2 linked regions of the Caenorhabditis elegans genome follow. The protein of the gene in region 1 purifies or fractionates together with the protein of each later gene. This does not show direct contact. Each region holds a gene or a part of one and is shown in the gene's direction. Other genes may lie near its edges.

Region 1 (9,552 bases):
CTAGAGGTAAATATTTCTACTTATTAAAAAAATAGTGAAGTGTGTGGTTATTGTTTTTGCTTAAATGAACTAACACTGAACTCATAAGTTGAATTTTATTATGAATTCTTGCAACTATTTTATGGCAAATGAATAATTGTTGACAGGGCCAAATTATGTCAGCTTCTTATCGCAGCGGTCGGGATATATCTAGGTTTTTTTTGCGAATTTTTCAACCATCATGGAACATCTTTTGATTAGTTTATGAGAACTTTCATTATTAAATACTGTTGCAGCCAATTTTAATTTGTTTAAGTTAATAATGCAACAAGCTCTACTAAATATGACCTATTACTTGTAAGATTTGTGTCTTACTTTGTTACGCTTCGTTATATAAGGAAAGGAAAATACAGACAGTATAGTTTTAAAAAAAGCAATACGCTCTACCCGTATTTTGTATTTTTTCTAGTTTCGTAGAAATGTTTCTTATCTTTTTGTGGAATTTTTTAATATTAACTGTTTTACTAACTGGTAGGACGGAATATGTTGTACAGACTGAGAATACCACGTGTGATATTCCATTTAAAACTCTGTAATTCCTATTTTCAGGTGTTGCATTTGTTCGAGCAAATCCAGGATATGCACTTCTTGGACCAATGGCCACACTGAACTTTTACGCGTATTCCGATTGTAAAGTGATACTCTTTAATGACGGAATTTTGCCTGTTTACCTTTCCATTCCTCTTGTGAAAAACTCAATTTATTCGCCGTATTTCTCAACAAAGTTAGTACGAGAGGGAATTGGAAAATATGAAATTGGAAAAAAATCAGCTGTTGAGAAGTGTTCATAACTTTTAGTAATATATTTGAATCTCAAAATATTTTGAATATATTATAGTTACATACATCTACATATTTTAATAACCTCCGAAAAAACATCCGAAATATTATGTGGCGCTAGAACATCTTGCACTTTACAAAACAAAGCCACCAAAAATTTGAGAAAAATAACTGAGAGGGGACAAATTATAATTTAGAAAATGTCACATTTTATTTGAAAAAAACTGTTCCAGAATTCGAGAAATGGTTGAACGAGGTTTCACACAAAAATGGATAGCAGACTACAGATCCTACGTTGCTATGCAGAAAATAAATGAGTGCAACTCTACCACCATCGGTCCGAAAAGTTACTTGGATTTGAAACGTGCCCAGGGAGCATTTTGGGTTTTTCTTGGTGGTGCTGGACTTGGTTTAGCTCTTTTCGTTGGCGAGTTTATATTCAAATTTTTCAGAGAAAAGGTGAGTTCATTTTTAGTCTTCTATATATTAAGAAATATGTAATTTAAGATGACGAAACACACGAAGACAACAACTGTGCCCCCAGAAGTTGCAACAGTTTCTGCGAATGTAGCTGAAAACTCTACTAGTTTAGATATCCCAGATGAAGTTCTGCCTTCTGCACCTTTACCGAGTGAAGATGGGAACTGGAGTTTACGCCGTCGAAATATACTTAATCTTTCTCTTGATTTATCAAATATCGCAAACTGATGAATCAATCTGATCTCTTCAATTCATTTTCCTATTGAACCATGTGGCTTTCCAAACGTTCGTAATGCAATAAATCGAGAGTCTTCGGACCAACTGTCGTCTTGTTTTCGGTCAACACGACGCCTTATGGCACCCCACTAGCTCATTTCACAACCACTTTCTTCAACGTTATCACTTGACCTCGCGTATTGATTATGATATTTTATCGCGTTTTATCTTTGATTTTATAACTTTCAGAAAACATTTAATTATAGACGTTAGACTTTAACCCCATTTCCAGTTTTTGTTTGATTATTATTTTTCTATTTTTTTTTTTTGAATATGATTCAAAAGACTAAAAGTCCAATGACTTTTTTTCTGAACGTCAAATAAGACACCATAAAGGAGGAGGTTCTGGTTTTTGTTTTGCTTGTACGTACGTAAAATGTGCTCAAATAAACAATATTCAAAATGAGACTTTTCAAAAGTTTCTCAAAATTTTTATGGTGGTTCAAAATTTAGAATAAACAGTTTTAACTAAATTCTCCAGTTTTGACAACTTTTTGTGTAGTACAATTTGGAAAATCGTTTTTATTTTATCATTACTTCTTGTATATATTGTGTGTTTATCTAACATTATCCCGTTTATTTAAATGCTTTTTGTGAATTGATTGATCAGCCACAAAAGATTTTTTAACCATTTCAGTAATTTATCAAAAAAACAAACATGTTGGGGTCTGTTGGGTCTCAAAACAATTAAAAATTTCAAAAACCAAAAAAAAACATTCGGTTTTGCACAGAGAAATTTGTACTTTTTACTCTATAATAGTTCATGATTTCTATACTCGGAAATGTGAGTTCAGACAAGTGACCCAAATCCATTTATCAAAATTTGAACAACACTGTCACTCAATTTTGATTTTATTGTGTTTGACTTAAATTTTCTCGGAACTGTCAACATTTCGTTATCTACTTCATTAACTCAACATTTCGTCTCTTTCAATAAATATTTTTTCTTGACAATTGATACCTTTTCTCGAAAACTAGATTATTTCCCAAAAATATGAAATTCAACTTTAAATTTCAGTAATAGATGATGAAGACTCTAGTTCTTACATTACTATTAATCGGTGGAGCATTTGCATTCCGTACTCAATCGACTGGAGTCAAAGGTAGACTCATGTGCGGAAGTAAACCAGCTGCTGGTGTGAACTTGAAACTTTTTGATGAAGATAATGGTTAGTGATCCTCGATTAATTGCAAGTTTGTGACGTACCAATTGAATTTCTAGGCCCAGACCCAGACGATGTATTGGATCAAAAAACAACCGATGACGATGGAAACTTTCTGTTGTCTGGGTCTTCAATGGAGCTGACACCAATTGATCCAGAACTAAGAATTTTCCATGACTGCAATGATCAAGGAAGCGTAGGTGCCAATTTGTAATATTAATTTTTAACCTTTTTTCAGCCTTGCCAACGAGAATGGGTTATCCGGATACCAGCAAAATACATTACTAATGGGCCAGAAGTGAAGGAAATCATGGATCTAGGAGTTTTAAATTTGGAGGTTGGTGATTGATTAAAAGTACTTTTGGTATTTATGGGTTTCGTCCCCCCCCCAAAGTGATTTCCATATTTTCTAATTGAGACGTGAACTTTTTCTTCATTCTCAGGCTTAGGGAAATTATTTTCTAAGCCTAAACATGAAAACAGTATTAAAATAAACATTCACGTGTGGATTAAAATTAAAAAGGTAGTGTTAAATAATTAAAAATCATTTTGGGGGGAACGAAACCGTGTACCGTACCTTTTTATTGTTTTGTGTTTTTATCAGGTTTTATAATAAGTTTTCGAAAAATTATTCGATATATAGGTGTGCGGCTCAACCTATATGTAAATCCTTGTATAGCCTATTTTATATTTACCGTATATCCTCTATTAGTAAGGCGTGCAAAACTAATTTTCGGACACCTAATTTGATGCAAAACTAATAGAGGTGCAAAACTAATAGAGAATATACGGTAATATAAATTTGACATGCTGATTTGAACGCTGCATAGTGTCGTCCGTGGGTATTTTGCTTTAAGTTGCATTGAGTTAAAGTGAAGGTGGGTCGGCAAAAAGAACCCCCTCACAATGTTTAGCAATATTATTAAAAAACAATGTTAATAATCATATTCAGTAATTGTTTTCAAGTTCAAATGAACGCAATGATTGAAAAGCTGGCAAATTTAATTTTCTAGTCAAAAATTATCAATCATATTTTTTTCAGATCGAATTGGACAACGAAAGTAGAAGCTGTGCTCACTAACTGAATAATGTTCAACTTTAACAAATAAATATGGTTCTTAAAATTGTTGTCATCTTTAATGTTTGGTTTCTGACCAACTTTTCTATCTTTTTTTTTTAATTTTCCTTATTAAAATTTGTATAATTCAGAGATGATTTCCAAACTTTTGATCCTTGGAACATGTGTTCTATCAGTTGTCTTGGCTGCATCGGAATCGCACTCTGGACGTCAAAACTACAGAGTGGGCTTTATCAGAAATTCAAATTATTTAGACAGTTTTTTTCAGGTGAAAGGCGCGTTTAGATGTGGCAATGTTCCAGTAAAAAATGTTCAAGTAAAGCTGATAGATGACGACTTTGGATCCGACCCTGATGATGATTTGGGTAGCGGCTATACAAACGCAAACGGAGAGTTCGAATTGAGTGGATCCACCACGGAACTCACAACTATTGATCCTCACCTGAAAATCTACCACGATTGTGATGACGGAATTAATGTAAGTTTCTAATTATTCATGCAACACAAAAACTTATTTTCAGCCATGCCAAAGACGTTGGAAGTTTGAATTGCCAAACAACTACATTTATTCGGACACTGACACACCGAAGACTTTTGATATTGGAATTTGGAATTTAGAAGGAATCCTTCCTGGAGAGAGCAGAGACTGCAATCATTAATTTTTAATTTGCCTTTTAAAAACTATTTGTATAAGTTAAATCATTCTAAAAAGCTATGTTTCGATTGAATTCGCATTATCAGTTTTGAAATGAAATTTTCTATTAATAGCGTCACACTTGATTAAAAAATTTGATCACATAAAATTTTAAGTCTAAAACTATATTTTTTAAAACTTTTATTCTCAAACTATTAAAAAAACGAACAATTTCTAGGTGCCAGGTAACAGGACTCTAAACAGCTCATGTGGCAAAAACACAAGCAAAATTATGATTACAAAAAAACATGTTAAAAACTTGAGGCACTGACCAGTTGGAACAAAAATTTGAAAATTTCTGGTTCATTTCTGGAGTTTTGGAATTTGCAATTTTTAATATTTAGTTTGCGAGCCGGTCGGTGCTAATGTAATTCTGCACAACTTTACTTGTAATGAAAACATATTTTGCCTAGATGAATAGAAAAAATTAGTTGATACTTGTATCTATCCGAATTGAGCTCAGCTTCCTTTGACCCGTAGTAGACCACAATATTTTAAAAGTTATCAGATAATCGGAGAGTTTATTGTTTTTGTGTTAAGTTGTTTGTAGTATGAAATTAATAGCAATATTTCATTTATAAGAAATCATACAAAAATATCGGTATTCTGAATTTAGATGTCAATGAGATTATTGTAATAGACGATATATTGAAAACGTCTTGTTATTTTCAGAATTTTGAGAATAAAGTTAAACTTTCAGTATGCACCTCCTTACTAACTATTTTTGAAAAGTATTTCACTTTTCCATATTCACTATCGCCTCCTTCAGCCTATTAAAGATGGCTTTTTTGAGGCCAAATATTCGGCGATGCTATCTTCCAAAAATTTTAAGTGTTGCGCATCTTGATGACGCTTCCAATACTGTCCGCGCATACCACCACTAGCTAACTTTCCTTTTTTAGAGAAAAAACCAACGTTTTCCATTTTTCTTCCATAATCTCGCTGACCGTCTTGCGTTTTTTTCTGACACGACATGCCACCGGCGTAGGATCGACGCTGTCTCCCGGCCGCGCCAATATATTTGTTGTAGTAGTGGAAGAGGCGAAAGTGAAACATGCTTTTTTATTGGTGACCACGACCCAGAACAGTAAGAGGTGAAGAGATTTGAAATCCGAAGGTGTTTCATCCGACCTATATTATTGGGTCTCATCTATTCATGCGAGTGTGCAAACAAATACTTTCTTCAACTCAAGCAAAATTTCACCGAACGCACTTTTATTGGGTCATTCACCTATATTGTCACTTTTCAAAAAAAAAGTTTCTGTTATATGGCTTAAAAAATTGTACATGCTTTTCCATTTTATATGTTTTCCGATTTCTACTAGGTGTTTTGGAAATCTGTTCTTGTAACTTGAATATTGATTTCATGTACTCCGTGCAGACCAAAATGTTTCGACATTTTACTAGGGTTTAAAGGCCAAAGCTAAATTATCCATCTTTTAGTTCAAAGTTTATAGCATCAAAAATACATAAACGATCAACAAACTGTCACAGTTTTGCCCGCTAATCATGTTTAATCATTTATATTTCAACATTGTACGGTCTGAACATGCAACATTGCATTAGATTTCTCGGTACCTGGTGCAAATTTAATTTGACTGGAAATAAAATACTTTGAAACGTTTTGTTAAAATATTGGGTAATTTCAGCACTATTTAAATGAATTTCTATGATTTCTTCACAGGTCGTAGTCATCATTTGATTAAATTGCCACCAACTCATACATATAAACAACTAACAAAATGCCAATCTTTTTTTATTGATATCGCTATCATCTTCTTCTTTTATCAAAGTCTACTCTAAGGTGTTGATATTGACGAATGACACCACAATCATTATCTCTTGCAAATGTGATAACTTTTATGACGCGAATCGCCACTAGCTTTAGAGATATGCAACAATGACGATGAAGGATCGGTTGCGCCGCCGAACAAGCGATAACAAATCTGACCCGACGACTCCATAACAATATCCACTTTCCTTATTTCCTGGTTGAAATTGTTGGGAACTTTTAGATTGGAAACTGAATTTTGCCATTAATCATCTTCTCAGATTTTTTCGGTTTCCATACAAACCTTCCAATTACCTCGTAACCGATCCTTCAATTTTGCACGGAGCTTTACTCGTTTTTTCATTTCTTTTTTGTTTCTAGCTTTTTCCTCAAAATTCATACTTCATCCCTATTCTTTCTCCTGATCATCCTCTTAAGCTGGACCTTTCGTTTTCATCAAGACTCGTCAAAAGGTGAAATGACAGTAAGTGTGGCGTTGTACACGTTTCTTTTCATACAGTAATAGTGTACACATCATCTTTTCTGCTTCTTCCTACCGATGTGTTTTTTCTTGCAAATGTCCGGGAAAGTGAACGAAAGTAAACTAGTCGGTAAAGAAAATCGTCGTTCATCCTACAGTCACCGTCTCCTTCACTATGTTTCCCTTCTTGACAACGACGCTCCGCAGAATCTTGTTGAAGTAAAAAGAGATCATGTGAAGAAGCCTACGGGTTACGAGGCAGACAGAGAAAATGAGAGAGACAGAAACATATCGTACACGGCTTCTTCGAGACAGACAACAAGGGAATACGAGAGAAGGAAAAGGCCACCCCAATGACCTGGATCCTCGCTCTTCACTCATTTCACTTTTCTCGTGACGCACCGCGCCAGCACTTTCACCTGAAATCGGCCTCCCTCATCTCTGTTTCGATCCCTCGTTAGGGGGCAAAATAGGGGCTAGATGGAGGGAATGAGTGAGAAGGAGGAGGGTGAGGAGGAGATGGGCCACTTTTCGGACAACATCAAAAAGTTTGACCTCTGACAAGAACACGATCCCTTTCCTTTTGTTGTCATTTTTCAAATTCTCTGAAATCCCCAGAATCCTAAAGCTCCCTTTCTTTCATTATTCAAACTTTTCACCTCCCTGGTATGCAATTTTAGGTTTCGCTAACAATTTTGTTTATTGTAAAGCTTTTCAATCCTTCCTGTTTTGATTTTGAGTCACATATAGATAACACAATTAATATGCATTAAGTTTTCAAAATTCCTTCATACTTATCAATCCAAACTTTCTCTTACTTTGGAATGCGGAGTTTTTGAATAAGTGATACCCAATATTTATGTTTTTGATAATTTATTATGACCATAATAAATTATCAAAAGATTTGAACATTTTGAGAAATTTAGTTTAGTTTCACACGTTTAAACCGGGCTATTTTTGAAAGGAAAATAAGTGGAACAAAAAAATCACAAGCAATTGCTTTTGAGCTTCCCGACAAAACTATGATTTGACTGCAAATAATTAATTCACGAACGTTTTGAAAAATTGTAATATGGAGATGTGGTAATCTGGTATCTAATCATTTACAAACAATACAAACGAGTTGAAAAATTTCCCCGTAGGATATATACTAATCTTTGGAAATTTTTAACTTTACCTCTAAAATTAATTTTTTTTTTCAAATCTGATTTTTTTCTGATTTTTTTCAAATCTGATTTACCCTTTTCCAAAAATTTATCATCTTTCTTCATAAACGTTTCGAAATGAGTTCACCCCTACCGTCCACCGATTTTTTGTGCTCCACATGCATGTCAACCTGGAGCGGAATAAGAAAAAAACAGGCCTCGCCGGGTATTGAGAGCCGCGAGAGTGTGTTTGGGTTAAAGAGAGTATGCGCGGTAGCCGCGCGGAGGGCACCGCCTCCCGGTCTGTCCACAATTATTTTTTTGCTTTTTGTGCTGCTGCCGCCGGAGCCGGTTACAGGGAGGGGGCTCCATGAGTCTTCGACGACACTGAGCAACAAGCATTCAATGTCAAAAATGCTCTCGAAATACTCGAAATTCGTTTATATTTTATACTTTATGGCATTGCCATCGAACTTTTTTTGTTACTTTTAACAGTGATTTGTATTGTTGAAGTTTGTTGTATTAGTTTGATCAGTTTAATCTAATGTATGCTCAAAATTTTTACGAGTTCAAATCCATTTTTTTAACAAATTTCATCATGACCTGTTTTTGAGAAGATACTTGAAGGCAATAAATTTTTTCCAAGGCTATTTCCCTTTATCATTATTGCCCTAAAAATATTTTCAATCATTGGCAGACTCTTCTCATATATACCGATACTTTTGATTATCTCTCTATTTGTTTATTCTCCCAACACTATTTAAAATTGCCAATCAAAAATCCTTCACAGTCCTCGAATTGCAAAGAATCGGAGCCACTGTCCGCCTCGATATGACATTGTTTAAGTATTGGGCCACCGGTCAAACAGTGTGAAAATATATATCGGACGGGAGATGGGGGTGCTTGTGGCGCAAGGTGAGAGTGCTCCGAGGAGCTGAGCCAGTTGTTTTGTTTGTTGCTCGCTCGGCTTGGCAGACAGAGAGCCTTCACTGGTGCCGTACGGTAGCCGGTCACTTGGATGTTTGCAAAACGACTTCAGGCGCTCTGGACCTCTGCGAATTGCCGCTGCCTCATTTTTGACGAAAAGCACAAAACACCAAGTCAAATAATTCTCGCGACAGCAGGGTATTTTTGTCATTGTGGAGATACAACGCATGTGAAAAAAAAACAATAATTCTCACAATGATTTTAAGTTTTCATTTCCCTTTTGTTTCTTGATAGGCAGCTCACAAAAAATTGCTGAGTGCGCTTTTTTATCAGCAGTTTAGTTCGCTGCTTCAAATTTCACTTTTTTTAAATGTTTTCTTTTTTCCAGCGATAAACACGGGTTACATGATTTAGTGATTTATGATGCAAATCGTAATCAATCACGAGAATTTTAGACTTATCAATGGCTTAAACTGTGGCACTGAAATGCAAAAGTTGAGCATATCAGAATATTATCAAATACGTAATTTTTTTGCAAGTTTATAAGGCGACAAACAAAATCAGACAGTGCGTCATAATTTCTTTGCAACATCAGCCAGCTAAATGTGTTTTGACTCCAGGGAACGTTAATGGACAATGAAATCAAAAAAAAAATAGGAGCAAAAATCGACCCACGCATCATCACAATTCCAGAGAGAATTGTGTGCACTTTCATACC
Region 2 (10,353 bases), on another chromosome or scaffold:
TTGCATTGGAAAAATTAAAAATTAAAATATTTTTTTTTTAATTATACAAATCACTGAAGACTAAAGGTGAAACCTATTCATACAACACAGTCATTGTTTTTCATAATAAAAAATTAATTTTTCTTTCAGCTAACAACTCTTGGATACGGAGACATGGTTCCATCAACAATAATGGGTAAAATAGTTGGAGGAGTATGCTCACTGTCTGGAGTGTTGGTTATTGCTCTTCCAGTTCCAGTTATTGTCAGCAATTTCTCTCGAATTTATCATCAAAATCAGAGAGCTGACAAGAGAAAAGCACAGAAGGTATGGTTTTTCGTTCAGTTGTAAAACCTTTTTAAACACTTAGTGATTTTTTTGCAAATTTGTTGGATTAAATTTAATCAATTTTCAGAAAGCCCGTCTTGCTAGAATTCGGATCGTTAAAAACGCGTCTGGACTAGCATTATTCAATAAGAAGAGAGCTCATGAAGCTCGGATGCTAGCATTTGAACAGGGTAAGTTGGTTTTTTTTTTCATTAGAACATTTCGTATTGCCGGCTTAAGTTAGTTATTATTGAGTTGTCACAAAAATATTTAACTTTGGAAATATAGAAAAGTATTCCATTTTGTTTTTCGGTCTCTTGGCATTTCTGTTGGCTCAAAAAAAGCAAATATAAAACATTAAAATTAAAAATTAATAAAAACAGTTCGTGATTCCGCTTGCTCAAGAGGGCACAAATTTTGAATCCGGTATAAAAAACAGATTCTGTGGTTTTTTTTTATTCCGTTTTTTTATATTTAATGTTTTAGGTTTTCGGTTACTTAATTTATTAGCAATGTGAAACATTAAAAAAAAATTATGTGTACAAAATTCTAGATTATAATTGAGATAACTCTAAAAAGTGCATTTTTGCAGGTCATCTCTCTTTCGATGCTCTCCGAGACGAAGATATCTTCGAAATCCAACATCATCATCTTCTTCAGTGTCTAGAAAAAGCGACGGAACGTGAATTTGTTGAATCAGAAGTGATGTTTGAAGGTGGAAGAAATACTCCTCCGCCCAGTGAAACAGCTTCATTGAAAGGAAAAACAAAGCGTAAAAGGCGATTGTGAGTTTTTGATTTTCAATCCTTTGAAGATTTATTAGTCTCTGGATTTCAGGGTAAAAAAATAAGAAAAAATTTTATACTATTCATCAATAAAATAAATTATCATCAAAAAAATTCACTGATGCTTTCTTTTCGTTAATGCATTTAAAATGGAAAATAATCATGAATGAAAATGAAAACTGTAGAAAATATTGTTGCGTTTTAAAATCCAAAATTCAAAAATATGCCTCTGCAACCCTGGCTAAGATGTCTGCTTGAATTCCCACCAAACATAGAACAAGGATATTAGGCAGCGTTGAAATACCATGTTTTCAAAAATTGTAGTTTCAATTATTTCTTGAATTTTTTTGAGTTTCTTCTTTGTCAGCAATATTTTGAGTATTTTAAATTAGAACCCCATTCGAAAAGTGAGTGTACCACGAAATGGTCTCGTTGGTGCAACTTTAGAGGGAATTCAAATAGCAAAATTGACAAAAGTGGAAAAACCTTAAATTCTTGATGTTGGATTTACTTCTTATTTTTGTCATTTTTCCTTGGTGATATTTTTGATTTTTGGATCACAATTTTGAGTTAAAACAACAAATCTCCTGAAATTTATTTTTTTTAGATGCTGTGTTTCAAAAGAAAATGAAGAAATGGAAGAGTTGGATCGAGAGACTCGTGTAACATTCAATCAGAATATGGATCAGGTATAAACTAACACCAGTTATTTGTTGAAAATTATATTATTAATTTCAGATTTGTGAATTACCAAAACCTGATGAAATGGAACTCAATCATCGAAATAATGACAAAATTTGCGTATCGCAACTGTAATCTACTTCTTTATTTTATTTTTTTAAAATGATTTCTAAAAATCATTTTCTATAGAAAATTTCTCTCATTGCTCTACCGGTTCCGTCTTTCTAGAAGCTAGTTGTTCTTTTACAAAAGTTTTCTGAAATCATCCCTCCCAACTATTCGGTTTCCCCAATCTCTCATCAACGATGCAATTTTGTTTTTTTCTGTAATTTTTACTTTTTCAAGTTAGAAACAAATATATTTCCATTGAACCCGTTTCCCGAAAAACTTCATATCGCTCTTTTTCTTTTTCAGTTCGAGGTGACTTTTCTCTAAATTTTCCCCGCTACTAGGAGCCTCTCCGATGATCTGCCCATTGGTGGCAGATGTCTTTCATTTTTTTTTTGATTTTTCAGATGGAAATATAAAATTGAAGTAAAATTAACTTTTTATGTGCAGTTTTTTTTTTTTCAATTTTCCAGGTCTGTCGATAAAGTTTTATTTATTTTCTAATTTTAGAAAACCACAAAGGGAATTACTTTTTTTTAACTTAGTGAGCTGGTTCATTTGTATCAGCTCATTGCTGAAAAAATGTAACTGTACAACATTCCGCTTCATTCCAATTGCATTTTAAACTACAAAAAACTTTATAAACAGATACATAAAATAATGCAATTATCAACAGTTTATCGTCGGGTTCCGTCCTCAAAGAAGATTCCTCCATCGATAGCACAATACTTTGGACAGATTCCCTTCTCTCCAACACTTCCTGCTTGTCCGGCTTGTCCAGCTGGTCCTGGATTTCCATCAGATCCTGGTTGTCCTGGTTGTCCAGATGGCCCCTTTGGTCCTGGTTGACCTGGTTGACCATTTTGTCCTGGAGTTCCTGGTTGTCCAGGTGGTCCTTGTGGTCCAGCCTCTCCTGGTGCACCTGGTTCTCCTGGAACAAGTGGCTCAGATGGAGCATCTTGACCTGGGTTCCCATCTTGCCCTGGTGCTCCTGGTTGTCCATTGACTCCTGGTGGTCCCTTTGGTCCTGGTTGACCTGGTTGTCCATCTTGTCCTGGACCTCCTGGCTGTCCATCAAGTCCAGCATCTCCAGCTGGTCCTGGTGGTCCTTGAACTCCTGGTGGTCCTTGTGGACACGGTTTGCATGGTGGTGGGGTAATTGGGTCACATGGAGCTTGTGGTGGACGTCCTGGATTTCCAGGAAGTCCAGCTACTCCAGGCTTTCCTGGACGACCTGGCTTTCCTGGGGTACCGACGGGTCCAGCTGGACCTGGAAGACAGCATCCAGAGCAGGATCCTCCAGCGGCCCCAGCAGATCCAGCGGCACCAGAATCTCCGTAAGAAGCTTGACGGGCGGTACGGTTGGAACGGATCGAGGAGACCTCGTTGAGAATGTCTTTAGCAGAACCCTTACAGTACCGGATCTCGTGATGAATACCCTTCTTCACGTGCGAGACGTAGTTGTAGACCATCGGAAGTGTGATACATACCTACAAAAAAGTTCATAAATGGGTTTTTGGACACAGTTTAATTTTTAATTCACTTCCAAATTATCAAAGAAATCATAATATTAGTCTTGTTTCTACGTTTTTACTCACCGAAAGTACTGCAACAACACTGAATGTAACAGCAGCATAGGCCACAAAGCGATACGCTTTAACACGAGTCTCCACCTCCATTTCTGAAGCCGACAAATTGTGGCTTTGCCCGTTTCTCTTATATATTGTTCAGTTTTTCAACGGTTTTCTCAACATCCGATACGGCTATGCTAGTTTTGAGATTCTAACCGATGCGCTGTGAACGAAAAACATCACAAAAAATGGAAGGATAAGAGGTTTTTCCAATTTTTCAAAAGACAATCTTATCAGTTTACATATAATTTGTGATCTTTTCCGTTTCTTTACATCAACAATTGTGGTTTAGCATGTAAATTCCGAGTGAATGCAATCATTAATTCCTTTTTTATATTAATTTTTTATTTGGCCATGGCGCCACCAAATTTGGTTTTTTCCAGAGATGCAAGTCCGCAATGTGTCGTCAAGTCTGATGCATGAAGTTCACAAGGTAAACGCGCTCCACTGCACTGTGCCTTTATCTTTCAAATTTATTTTCCTCGCAGAAAAATTCCAACAGTTTGAATTTTAATCGTTTTTTTTGCGGTTTTTTGTCTTATTTTTCAAATAATTGTCAGTTTTCTATTTTTTAAATTCAATATTGACTACAACGACCCTCTTATTATAACGAATTTTATGCATTTTCCAGTATGTCGGAACAAACAACACAACCGACAACAGAAGACCAACAGTCGGCAGAAATAGCAGTAAAAGAAGAGGAAATTGCAGTGAAAACTCAATCCGCACCTGCAGGTTCGGTTTACTCGTAAATTAATCTTTTAAACTGAAAATTTCAGATGCTCCAGACATTCATCAATCGACAATTAAGGAAGCAGACGAATCAATGCCAACAAAAATTTCTTCTGGAGAACCACCAAGAAGCCAATATATAAGATTGCGTGGGCTTCCATTCAATGCTACCGAGAAAGATATTCACGAATTTTTCGCTGGGCTCACGATTGAACGAGTCAAATTCGTATGCACAACTGGACGCCCGAATGGTGAAGCATACGTGGAGTTCAAGAATACCGAAGAAGCTGGTAAAGCTATGGAAAACGATAGAAAAGAAATAAGTAACCGATATATTGAAGGTAGGCGTGATTCTAACTAGAAAAAAACATTATTAAAGCTATTTAATTTCAGTTTTTACCGTCGAAGCGGACGAAGCTGAGTTCGAATTTCGTCCAGATCCAGATTCCAATGGAGAAGTTAATCACGTTATTCGATTGCGTGGTGTTCCATGGTCTTGCAAAGAAGATGATGTTCGTAAATTTTTCGAAGGTGAGTATAATAAGTATGTAGAAATAATCCAAATAGTCTGCCGGTGAAATGTAATGTACAATGCCTAGATTCCCCTTCCCCTCTTGAATTTTTGGACGTTAACTTATGGGTTTCCTTATTCTATCCAGGGCTAGAACCACCACCGGCGGAAATTGTAATCGGCGGGACGGGTGGGCCGAGATCGAGACCATCCGGGGAGGCGTTCGTTCGATTTACGACGCAAGACGCGGCCGAGAAGGCGATGGATTACAATAACAGGCACATGGGATCGAGGTGGGTATTGATGATGATGATGACTTATGGTAACTGCTGATTACGGGTTCATTTTGGTGAATTTTTAATTTTTAAAAAGTAATTTGTCTTTTTTCAGATACGTTGAAGTATTCATGTCAAGTATGGTCGAATTTAATCGAGCAAAAGGTGGAGGATCGGGAGGTGAGATTACAGTAGTTCACTTTAAAGGCGCATACTTGCTTTTAGGCGGGTCTTGCCACGATTTCCAGTATTTTAATTAATACTGGACCTAAACTGTCAAAATGTATATTTCATGTGAAAACTGAAGTCCTTGAAATCTCGCATTCTAATTAGACTTTTAAAGTGCACAGAAGAAGACATGATGTACCAAAAAAGGTGTAATTCATCGCAATTTCACAAAATCTTCTTAAAGGCGCACCGGTTTATTCTGATGGGCCTCGGTGCGCAATACGGTAGATTTTCGCATTTCTGTTTTTTTTTTTTTTCTTTCATTTCTCAATGAAATTATTCAGTTTTTCGCCAATCTTGCCCTTCCTTTTTCTCATTTTTCTGATAAAAAATAGAAAACGAGACAAAATTCGCAAGAAAAGAAGTGATTTAATTCAAAAATGCAAGAAACAGCAGCAAAAATTAAATAAAAACTACCATATACTCATTTTCGCGCCAAGACCCATCTGAATGAGCCTTTATTAAAACATGTCGAAATATTTGAAAAGCAAATCTGCGCACATTTCTGTTACGGTGCACATCAAATTTCAACATTTTAAAAATTGTCTCTTGAAATGCTCATTTAGTTTACTATTTATTGATATAACAAATCTTGATAATAAATATTTTCAATTTTTATTTTACAGAATACTCGGCATCTTACGAAAGAACTGGAATTCGCCCACTGATGTCCGTGGATTCAGGATATGACCACGGAAGACGAGGTGGTGGTGGAAGATACGGCGACAGCAGCTATGATCGTGGTTATGATGACTACAATCGTGGAAGTTATGGCGGACGTCGGGATTATGGATACAATGGTGGACACGATCAAGGAGGTCGCAGTGATTATGGAAGAGGAGGCGATGATCCGCTGAGGGTATGAGTATTTTTCTGCGATTGTAAAATAAATTATTTTATTTTTCAGGTGTATATGCGTGGTCTTCCTTATGATGCTGATGATCATGCTATCGCTGCTTTTTTTTCTCCACTTCGATGCCATTCAGTCAAAATAGGAATCAACGAAACTGGTCGTCCATCTGGAGATGCTATTGCGGAATTTGACAATTACAACGATCTTCAAGTCGCTCTCTCGCGTAACAATCAAAGAATGGGAAGACGGTAATTTGAAATTTATAATCAGAACATGGAATAATTATTGTTATTTGTAGATATGTCGAACTGTTTGATAATCGTGGAGCGCCTGGTCCAATGCGTCGTCTTCTTTGGAAAGAAACAAGTGGCACGAATGCATCAGCTGCTCCAGCGCCTGATCCGATTCTTAACGGAGGAAGACGTGGCGGAGGGCCACCACAACGAGACTCTGGCTACAGGGCAGGTCCTCAAGCTATGCCACCATCATACAGAGAATCAAGGGATCCATATGGCCCACGGGAACCACGAGGATACGATATAGAACCCAAATATGAACCACGAGGCATCCCACCACGCAGTGCTCCAATTCGTGCACCACCAGCTGCGCATGGCCGGGCTCCTGATACGTGGGGAAGTTATGGAGCAGCATCTACTGGTCCGAGTTATGATCAGAGCAGTGCTGCCGGAGGTTATGCTGCAAGCTGGGATGCTTATTATGCTTCACAAGCACAGTCTGCGTATTCTGCAGAACCTGCATCCACATATCCCACAGCTGCTCATTCTGCATATGGATCAGGCGAATCATATTCGTATGGAGCATCTGCTGGAGGAGCTTACGATCGTCAAAGAGAACCTAGAGACTCACAGCCAACATGGGCTCAGCAACAACAACCGTCTCATCACAGTGCTTATGGAGGATGGGGAGCTGGAGCTGGAGATCATCGAAGTGGATATTAATTATCTTCTTTTTTTTCTTTTCACTTCTGACTTCCTTTTTTCTGTTCCTGCCAAAATCCCAGTTCTTTCGATTTTCCAGACAAATGAGCATTGTTCCTTATAATCTAGTGTATCACTTTACTTTTTTCTCTGTTCTCCGAGGTCTCGGTTATTTATTATCTTGTTCTCATGATTTTCCAACGCGAACGTCTTATTTTACCTCTGTTCTGTTCAACTATCAAAATATCATGCTTTGATCTTCCTACACAATTTTTATTAATTAATAGATTTCTGAATTTGAGACTTTCATTGTTTTTTTTTTCTGTATCCTTTTTGATATTTAATGGCTGTTCGCCCCGCGTTTTAATATGTTACAATTTGGAAATTCTTATTTCTTTTTAATTAGGAAATGAGACATGGATAATTATTTCACTTCTTGGTTGTTTCATAGAATGTTGGAATGTTCAATTATATACTTGAGTGTACACTTTATTTTGTAAAATGACGATTCTCTATCACAGTCTATGCAGATGCGGCGAAAAGTCGAGACATCATGGCTGGAAGAGCTGAAAAAGCGTGTAAAATATCAAGAAACAAGTCGTCTTCAAATGGTCGAGATTCGAGAAACTTTGCTCGATAACGAAAAAGAATTGCGAAGTTTAGATTCAACATTGAAAAAGACGACGAGTTTTATGAAAAAAGTGAAGCTTCTCAGTGCGGCCACTGTTCCACAATTAATTGAAGAATTATCGAAATTGAATTTAAGCAAATTTGTTGAGGAAATGGCGTCGGTGGGTTCTTGATTTCGAATTCCATTGAAAATCGGATAATTTTTCAGGGAATTATAGAGACAAAATTGAAGTTATCCGATATTCCGAAAGTAACAGAGCTCTGCCTTGCAATTTCTGCGAAATATTCAAACTTCAGTGAACAGATGGCTGGGGAATTCAAAAAAGTTCTTCCTGTTAAAAAGAGTGACAAAATTGCAAATGTTGCAAAATTGAGAGTGGATATTATGTTAGATTGCATTAATAAGACAGTTTTCATCTGAGAATAAATAAAATATTTCCAGCTTCCTCGCTGAACTTTGCCTGTGTGGAGTTTTCAATGAAAAGGAAGGACTTCAAGTTCTCGGTGCTGTATTAAGTTATTTGATTCAAACAGATAAGACTGATTTTGTCAATGTTGGATTATTGGCTACAGTATCTAGAACTGTTGGATGGCAAATTGCAAATATTGTGCCAATTCCAATGGATGATGCTGAAACGGTCGAGATTCAAGACGGTTGTTATCTTTTTAATCAGGAGCGTATATTCATTATCAATGTTTTCAGAAGAACTCCCTGAGTCATCAGCTCTCTCAGTTGAACAGAAAAAGTCGATTCGTGAGCTCTTCAAATCATACTACGATTCACTTTATTCGAAAACCGAGAAAACGTGTTCGGCAAGAAATAAGGCGATGAAGAGAGTTAAACGACAGGAAAGAAGCCGTGGAGACGCTGGTGATGAGGAAAAGACAACTTTGAATGATCTTCAGTCTGAATTGGATTCTCTGCGGAAAATGGTACAAAAATTAATTACCCAATAGGAAAATTTGAGAAAACCCCTCATTTTAGGCTATAGAGATATCGTCTGCAATCGGTGTGGAAATGAAACCGCTAAAAGAGGAAGCTAGTGACGATGAAGAGGATGAAGCTGCCAACTTGGAGGTTTTTTGATTCGACCAAAAACTTGAACTTATTCTATATTTCAGATGGGACGCAAACTTGCAGAAGGAGCAATCAAGCTGTGGAGTGATGAAGAGACGAAGGCATTCTACGAGGATCTTATCGATCTTCGACAGATGGTTCCCAAGGATCTTTATAAAGAATCTGAACAGAGAACTCTCAGCAAAGCGAAGATGGCTGAAAGGATTGAAGATGTCGATATGGAAAATATCAATGAATCCGGAGCAATGGATGCGAAGAGATCATCATTACAACGTGGAGAGTCTGAAAAGGAGACGACACCAGAAGATTCTCAACTTCAAGCTCTTCTCAAAGAAGCTGTGGATGCATCCGAAGAACGAGGAGTCAGCAAATGGCAAAGTTTTGTACTTGATTTGGATCATCTTGTCAGCAAGTACTCAACTGACCAAGCAGCTATTTATTTTGTTTCGAATCTGAATAATAAGGGTTGTCGCAAGAGGCTTGTGAAGCTTATGATCGATCCACCTCCGTCTCGGATCGATGTTGTTCCATTTTATGCCCGACTTGTCGCTACTCTCGAGAATGTGATGCCTGATTTGACAACTGAAATCGTAACTCAACTACTCGAGAAATTCCGCGGATTTTTGCAACAGAAACCATCGTCAGCTACTGCTATAATCAAAGTGGAATCAAAGATGGTTTGCGTGATGATGATAGCTGAACTGATGAAGTTTGGAGTAATTTCTCGTGCTGAAGGACTCAGTTGTTTGAGACAACTTGTGTATGATTTACGTGGACATTCTGTAGAAATGACAGCGACATTCATGGAATCTAGTGGTCTTTATCTGTATAGACATACTGAATCACATGCAAAAATGAAGAGATTATTGGAAGTTGTGAAGGCGAAACGAGAACGAATGAAAGATCAAAGACAAGCGGTATGTTTAGATGAACTACATCATAATATTAATTCAATTTCGATATTTCAGATGCTCATAGACAATGCGTATTTCACCTGCCTTCCACCAGAAGATTCAAAAGAAGAACGTCTTCGTTTGAAGCTAGACGAAGAGGATACTCCAATGAAACGATTTATTCGTCACATAATTCTGGATATCAATGAATCAACCGTTGATGTTTTCTTAAAATGTCTTCGGAGGCTTGAATGGTATGATCCAGAAGTTGCTGATTATGCAATTCGTTATCTCTCCTCCACGTGGCTTCTTCCCATTGAAAATCTTCAACACGTGGCATCTGCGATTGCTGGTCTCTGTAATTTGGTACATCTTCAATGGATTGGAATGGCTGTAATTGATTCAACAATTGAAACTATTCGGTATGAACGATTTTCGATAGAGATGTGCGGCACATTTACACAGAAATATATATATAACTTTTTTTGTACTTTCTGAAAAAAATTGCTCTCAATGAAAAGTTTCGAGGCATTGCCCATTGATTCAAATCAGGGGTGTGCGGCAAATTTGCCGAATTTGCCGAACTTGCCGAGCTCGACAAATTTTGAGATTTGCCGCACACCCCTGATTCAAATATTAATACTGCATCGTACGGTTGTGTTAGTTTTTGAGCAACTTCCCAAAACTTTCAATTGAAAGTAACA

What was found. The genes of interacting proteins can lie anywhere in the genome.
Region 2: the proteins of ttr-35 (region 1) and hrpf-2 fractionate together in Caenorhabditis elegans (co-fractionation; one large-scale study listed by BioGRID). This does not show direct contact.

The regions. Positions count from the first base shown.
Region 1 is NC_003284.9:6,508,338-6,517,889, forward strand, and holds ttr-35 (Transthyretin-like family protein), read left to right. Parts: upstream 1-3,947; 5' UTR 3,948-3,949; coding exon 3,950-4,039; intron 4,040-4,084; coding exon 4,085-4,294; intron 4,295-4,337; coding exon 4,338-4,475; 3' UTR 4,476-4,581; downstream 4,582-9,552. Other genes in the region: glr-8 (Ionotropic glutamate receptor L-glutamate and glycine-binding domain-containing protein), read left to right, coding at 1-6, 589-763, 1,053-1,278, 1,327-1,527; ttr-36 (Transthyretin-like family protein), read left to right, coding at 2,600-2,744, 2,798-2,934, 2,977-3,075, 3,781-3,819.
Region 2 is NC_003282.8:6,370,313-6,380,665, reverse strand, and holds hrpf-2 (RRM domain-containing protein), read left to right. Parts: upstream 1-4,142; 5' UTR 4,143-4,143; coding exon 4,144-4,246; intron 4,247-4,290; coding exon 4,291-4,584; intron 4,585-4,636; coding exon 4,637-4,774; intron 4,775-4,902; coding exon 4,903-5,047; intron 5,048-5,144; coding exon 5,145-5,209; intron 5,210-5,883; coding exon 5,884-6,116; intron 6,117-6,164; coding exon 6,165-6,358; intron 6,359-6,408; coding exon 6,409-7,069; 3' UTR 7,070-7,532; downstream 7,533-10,353. Other genes in the region: shl-1 (BTB domain-containing protein), read left to right, coding at 130-306, 395-497, 899-1,091, 1,699-1,780, 1,830-1,907; bli-6 (Nematode cuticle collagen N-terminal domain-containing protein), read right to left, coding at 2,558-3,370, 3,479-3,559; smg-3 (MIF4G domain-containing protein), read left to right, coding at 7,579-7,839, 7,887-8,065, 8,121-8,332, 8,382-8,611, 8,664-8,756, 8,801-9,673, 9,725-10,071.